Danio rerio: one gene and its partner. The protein of the gene in region 1 interacts with the protein of each later gene in a biochemical or structural test. Links are inferred from orthologs where the notes say so. Each region holds a gene or a part of one and is shown on either strand. Other genes may lie near its edges.

Region 1 (3,129 bases):
CAGATTGGAATTAAGTAAACAAAACCATTCGGCCTGATAGTGGAAAAGTGGCTAAAATCATCAGTAATTAAATGAAATCAGTTAAAAATTATTTTAAACCTTATTTAACCTTAAATATGTTTTTCCCTATTTAGTTTTTTCAGTTTCATGACATTGGCATATAACAGAATGACATACTAATAAAGTTAATTTGAAACATTTGTAAATACTATAATTAAAAATATAAATATTAGCAAACCAAATATTTTCATTTGTTTGTATTGACATTTATCTTCATATCTGCTTTTAACAATCAGAAAGAGAATGACAATCGAGGACAGTCTCCAGCACTCGTGGATCAAGGTTCAAATATTTTACTTTTCCTCCCATTTGACTTGTGCCACCATTTGTTCAGTGTTTAACACAGTTCTTGTCCCATCAGGTCATTAAGAGACGAAATGTTCGACCCGAAGAGAGCGAGCGCAAGCCTGAACGCAGGCGTCTGAAGACCACCCGTCTCAAAGAGTACACCATCAAATCCCACTCCAGCATGCCTCCCAACAACACCTACATCAACTTCGAGCGATTCTCCCAGGTCATGGAGGAGATCGCAGCGGCCGAAGAAGGCCTGCGAGAGCTGGAGAAAAACCAACGATCGTGTGGTGAGGATGTGACCGCTCTGCTCTCAATATATGAGGAGAAGGAAAGCTGGTACAAAGAGGAGAACGAAAGCATCGCCGCAGACCTCAGTCAGATCAAACAGGAGCTGCAGAAAGCACAAGCCCTGCGCAGACAGAGCCAGGAGGAGGCACGTGCTGCCATGCTGTCAGCTAATGCCCTCAAACGCAAATTCGGACGACTGGAGAACCGATACGAAGTTCTGGCTGAGCAGATGGACTCCGAGGTGCGCTGGGTGGAGGAGCTGGTGCGCACCATTTCAGCTGAAAACCACACTCGCAGCACCAGCATGGCTTGAGGTTTGCTTTTTCAATCTAATAATGGCTATCTACTATCTTCGCTTGGTGTGTGCAGAGATATATAGTGTTAAAAGATTAGTTCACATCCAGAATTGACATTTTTTTTAATGATTTGTTTGCCCCCTTTTCATCAGAGTTATTCATTGCTTTCTTTAGTCGAAGAAATCAAGATTTTTAGGGAGAATATGCTGGATTTTTTTCTCTTCATATAGAGGACTTCTATGGTGTTCAATAGTTTTTAAACTACTCTAAAAGATTTCAGATGAGGAATAAGAGTCTTACCCAAAGAAATCTGATATTTATGTTTAAAAGTTTATGATCTTCTAAATAATGACTAATCGTTTTGCTTATTTTTTCGTCTGTGGAATCCTTTGAAGCTGCATGAAAACAGCAGGTTGGATGTTAAATCCACAGAGTACAATAGAAGTCCAATATATTAAGAAACTTCACGTTTTCCTCAAAAACCTTCATTAATTTTCGACTAAAGAAAGTAAGAAGAAAGGGAGCGAGTAAATTACCAGGAAACTTCCATTCAGAAAGTGAACTAAACTTTAAATATTGCGTTAAGCTTCATGTAATCCTGTAGGGTTCGTGCTACTCTTAGAACAAATGCTCGATCGGTTAAAAATGTTTTTCCTCTAAAGGTGAGCATGCATTAAGAATGAGCTGTTCGCTTGTGCAATATACAGTAGTATCAGTTTGTTGCAGCTGAAGCGAACATTTAGCTTGTGTACTCGCAGCCTCAATTATACATGCTGGAATAGTCGATAAAAAATATATATACATATATTTAAGATTTGAGAATCAATTACAGCACTCAACACAAAGGATATTAATGTACATTAAAAGTAATGCACTACACCAGTGTTTCTCAACCACGTTCCTGGAGGACCACCAACACTGCATGTTTCGGATGTCTCCTTTGTCTGTCACACCCATTACCGGTCTTTCAGTCTCTGCTAATGAGCTGATGAATCAGGTGTGTTTGGTTAAGGAGACATGGAAAATATGCAGAGCTGGTGGTCCTCCAGGAACAGGGTTGAGAAACATTGCACTACACAATCCTCTATGAGGAATTTTAAGATGCCAATTGATTTGTGGTGCTGCATGTCTGCTTTCCTATGCAAATCAGATCCTTATTTTATGATGTGAGATAAATTAAATTACTTTTAAAATGTATAATGGTCCTAAATGCTGTCTTTGGGTGAGCGGTAGATATATATAGTACTTGGTAAGCTGCTTCAATTTAAAAGAATAGATCACCTCAAAATTATTATTAATCACTCTCAGTTCTTTCCACGTCGAGTATGACTTTATTTCTATTAAGGAATGTAAAGGTTAAAATTGTTTTGGACTTTCATAGTATGTACAAAACAGTTTGCGGTTTGCTAAACAAAGTCATACAGGTTGGGAAATGACACGAGGGCAAGTAAATAATGACAGACTTTTATTTTGTTTTTTGCATAAAGCGCACTTCGAACATTCCATTTTTTTTTGTGTGTGACATTCCATATGTAAATGAGCATAATTATCTCTCAGGAAATAATTGTGCTTGTTAAAGTCATGGCAATATCTGTTTGCTTACAGTACTGTATCCATTATTGTGTCGTTTTATTACGTTTATATAAACATACGAAAAACCCATTCGAATAAAAGTACTGAAGAAGACCACAGTCAGCGTGTCTTTATTTGGTGTGTGTGAGCGCAATGGGAGGTCAAGTGGGGTGTTACATAAATCCCAGCATTTGTCATAAACTCTTTATCTTCATTTGCAACATGTCTAGAGATGTTGAAAGTCCCCCAGTTTTAATTACACAAAAGATTTTTCCATCTCCATTGTAACATTATGGTGTTTTGCTGCTGAGGTAAACATTTGCATTTTTGGGGTCATGTCGATGCAGCTGTTTACTTTGACAACTTTAAACTACATGGCATATATGAATATTCTGAGAACAGTTTTAGCTTCCTATGAGATGTAGACATAAATCAGCAGTGCGTATCTCTCTTTGCCTTTGGCTTCAACATGATCCTTCTAGTTTGTACTCATTTTTTTGTCATTCACAGAAAGAAAGTCACTGCTTCAAGTCCTGGCTGGGTCACTTGGCATTTCTGTGTGGAGTTTGCATGTTCTCCCTGTGTTCGCTTGGGTTTTCTTCGGTGCTCCCCCCACAGT
Region 2 (4,239 bases), on another chromosome or scaffold:
CGTGCAGAGAGACACTGGGGCATGAGTGTGTATACTTGCTCTCAAAGACACCCTAACATTAAGTCTTGGCCTGCCCCCTACTTCCCAAACTACTTTACCTTGGCACAGTGCGAGGGGCTAATGACAGGATATCTCCAGCCAAAGCAGACATACTGGTCAGCCTCCAACAGCAACTATCCGCAGGGCAGTGGAGCTGGGTGGTAGACATTCACATTGGCATATGCACTAACAAGCCTCCCACTGCTCATGCAGGGGAATGTGACGGGTTGAAAGGTGAGAGATAACGGTGACAGATTTGGAGGCTAATTGTTATGGTGAACCGATCTGCTAATGAAGTGTTTTTAACTAGAGGAACAGCCGTACCGTGTTCTCCATCAGCTCCATCCCATGATCTACAACGTAACTCAGCAACTCACAGTCATTATAAATCATGAAATGGAGAAAATATGTATAATGTGATCCCAATCTGTTAGTCATCAGACTTGTTGCCTTCTAGTCTTGATTTATAGGAGTGTTGTTTGGAGGAGAACATGCATTAAACAGATATTTCACCAAGATTACATAATGTAGGTATGCGAGTTCACTCATTAAGTGACATTTAACGATGGACTTCACAGTTAAGTTATATAAATTGGCCAGAGTTGAGCCTAGATAAGCAAATCTGGTTGTAATAATGTCAGTTTTAGACAAAATTACCAACAAATTACTTAGAAAAAAAAAAAGTTCTGTGGTATTTGGACACTGATTATGATTTGTTTTAGGCACGTAGGATGGTTAGTAGACGTAAGATTGCAAATATGGCTGTAATAATGCAAGCAAGCTTGTATACTTTAGTTACTAAACATATTTAGAACACTTTCAGTAAGCAAATATGGTTGCAACTCAGGATATGGGCCTTCGCCATGACAATAATATGATTTCTGTGTTTATTTTTGTTGTTGTTCTTATCATACTTTTGGCAAATTCATGCAGCCAATAAAAAGAGGCATGATGGTTTTATCTTGTATTCCTTACTGTACACGTAAATATGGCACATTATATACTAAGACAATGCGGCTTCTTTTTAAACTAACATGATGGTAACAACATTGCATTCTTCGAAGAGCATGCAAATACATTGCATATTAATATTTTCAGTAACAGAGGCTTTATATTCACACATTCATCCACTTGTGACACACTCCCTACATTGTTTACTATGGCACTTTGAATATTTGGTCTAAAATAACCTTGCAAGTATGACTTGAAAACAACATTTACACAGTTTATTTGACTGTGAACAATGTTGTACTTTGATAGTCACTAGCTGCTAATATGATTTTGCTATTTAGAGTTTACAAATAAAAATTTCATAAAATTATATTATTAAGGAGAAAGTCTGAATTTGCGAATAAAAGAACAACTTTACTTCTATTATTCAGTACCAAAGTTTACATCAAAGTATCCTAAGCAAGTATTAATTACCAAGAACAGACAGAAAGACAGACAGACAGACAGACAGACAGACAGACAGACAGACAGACAGACAGACAGACAGACAGATAGATAGATAGATAGATAGATAGATAGATAGATAGATAGATAGATAGATAGATAGATAGATAGATGACGTAAATAAGCACCTGATTATTGTTTACCTTGCCATGGTTAAAATGGTAAAAACATGCTTTTAATTCTAGTTACAAAATATAAAGCAGTACTTTGTTTGTTGACATTACGCCATTGGTAACACCATTTGAAAACTAGCATAATGGCATGTTTTAAAGGCATGTAAATAAAGCTTCATGTATAGCAGGGCTCACTATTAATATATAAAAAGATTAATAGAACAGAAGGTATTTACACTTTTTGTGCAATGTATATTTGTTAAAATGCATGTTTTACACAATCTATAAAATGTCTAGATCTGGAAACAACTTAAACAAGCACCATGTTATTATTTTGTTTTGAAAGTGTAGCAACCATTAAAAACAATGTCTATGACAGCTGTTGTAATAAGCAGCATTTTAGTAGGCTTCTGCTATTGCCTTGGTGAAAAGGTAAACTTTAAAGCAAGTGAACTGACCTCGTTGGACGGTATGCTGACAACACCTGTTGACCTCCTCTTCTCTCTTAACTTCCTCTTCTCGATCTGTCCTTTGCCCTTTCTGGCGCTGGGTCCCGAGCTCTTCTTCTCTTTGCTCTTGCTGTGTGTGGGACTCTCCTTATCACTGTCATCCACACCGGCGGGGCTCGGGCTATCCGCCTGCGGGACTGCGCTCACTTTCTCCGGCGTCTTCTTCAAGTTTCCCCCGGGCGGCTCGGATGTCTTGGGCTCGTCCTTCAGAGCGGATGAAGAGGAGGACCGAGCCACCGGATAAGAGGGCGCAGAGGAGACGCAGTTCACCGAGCTGCTGCCGTTGTTGTTTAACTCCGTGGTTCTGCCGGTGGCGGCGGCGATATCTCCAAGCATCTTTGCTCTCATCTTTTCACGCTTTGCTTTCCATTCCTCCAGAAAGTCTGTCGCGCTGTTAGATTTAAATCCTCCTGTTGCCATGATTTGCTTTCTCGCAAACGTCTCGTGTGAATCACTTTGTAAACACAGACAAGAGTACACGCACTTTTTTGTTCAGATCCGCGACATTCCTCAGAAGTCTTTCAAAATAATCACAAAGACTTTAAAGTTGTCCAAAACTGCGATGAAGTCGCTTCAGAGCAGCGTAAAGCTGTCAGAAAAGTATTGTTTTGAAGGAAAGTGTCCGGTAAAGCTCACCTGCGCGCGCAGGAACAGTCGTCAAGAGTTCAGGTGAACTGGTGGAATGAACTGGATTAGTTGCAGGCGCGCTCAAACGCCGAGTCCTGCCCCCGTTTCCGAAAGCTTACGTAAATTAACGGAAACAGCCGACAGCCTTTTGATAGCGAGCTGATGCTGCTAGGCAAACTTTTTTTAGGATTATATTATATTATATTATATTATATTATATTATATTATATTATATTATATTATATTATATTATATTATATTATATTATATTATATTATATTATATTATTGCTACAGTGTTAATGAAATAGGTAATGAGATATATGATATTATTTGTTTAACAGACAGACAGACAGACAGACAGACAGACAGACAGACAGACAGACAGACAGACAGACAGACAGACAGACAGACAGACAGACAGATAGATAGATAGATAGATAGATAGATAGATAGATAGATAGATAGATAGATAGATAGATAGATAGATAGATAGATAGATAGATAGATAGATAGATAGAATAAGCATCTGAATATGTTTTATATTTTAGTTACAAATATATAAAAGTGGTAATATGTTTGTTGACATGTCATTGATAATACCATTAAAATCTAGCATAGGCTAGTGAATCCTTTTTTAGTAATTGCATGCTTGAAGGCATCTATACATCTATAAATGACCATAAAAAGCTACTGCTACTGACACTTAAGCATTTTAAAACTATTTAATGGAAGGATGGACATGACAGATAGATACAAATTGGGAACTAAGGTGGTAAAAATGCACAGATTTAAAATGGTAACATGATAATGCCATGTTTCTGTGCTTAATTAAAAAAAAAAAAAACTTGCCTAACCATGTGGTTGTGTCAGTATTTGTTTAGTAGCACTTTAGCATTTAGCATCTTTGTAATGAATGGATAGATGAATGAATGGACTGTAAATAAGGACAGACAGACAGACAGACAGACAGACAGACAGACAGACAGACAGACAGACAGACAGACAGACAGACAGACAGACAGACAGACAGATAGATAGATAGATAGATAGATAGATAGATAGATAGATAGATAGATAGATAGATAGATAGATAGATAGATAGATAGATAGATAGATATTTCTCCGGTGCTGAGACATCAGACAATGTGTATGAGAGATGAATCTGCCTGTTCTCCCACAGGTCCTGTGAGAGCATGAGTCACTTGTTTCACAGACTTTGGCTGTTTGTGACCTCAAGACTCTCACAGATGATAAACCTCAGAGTGTTAGATAACAGAAGTGCACACAGAGTCACGCATCTGACTTTCACAATCTCTGTCAAGCCATCAAATCATCTGAAAATTGGTATTTACACATTTTTGACACGTACTAAGATATATCACAATGTCCAGAATCCTCTCTGAGGGGAAGCTGATGTTTAAAATCAATCAGAGAAAAAAAACACATAAATATACTCCTTTTTCTGGAATGCTTTAAGCAATGTATGTTGAGTAA

Evidence for each region. The genes of interacting proteins can lie anywhere in the genome.
Region 2: of the proteins of dapk3 (region 1) and pawr, one has a biochemical effect on the other in vitro, tested with the Homo sapiens proteins (2 studies listed by BioGRID). The link is inferred for Danio rerio from reciprocal best matches to the Homo sapiens genes DAPK3 and PAWR.

Annotation. Positions count from the first base shown.
Region 1 is NC_133177.1:40,494,860-40,497,988, reverse strand, and holds the end of dapk3 (death-associated protein kinase 3), read left to right. Parts: intron 1-296; coding exon 297-342; intron 343-421; coding exon 422-955; 3' UTR 956-2,629; downstream 2,630-3,129. UniProt on the Homo sapiens protein: Serine/threonine kinase which is involved in the regulation of apoptosis, autophagy, transcription, translation and actin cytoskeleton reorganization. Involved in the regulation of smooth muscle contraction.
Region 2 is NC_133179.1:22,060,896-22,065,134, forward strand, and holds the start of pawr (PRKC apoptosis WT1 regulator protein), read right to left. Parts: upstream 2,801-4,239; 5' UTR 2,537-2,800; coding exon 2,066-2,536; intron 1-2,065. UniProt on the Homo sapiens protein: Pro-apoptotic protein capable of selectively inducing apoptosis in cancer cells, sensitizing the cells to diverse apoptotic stimuli and causing regression of tumors in animal models.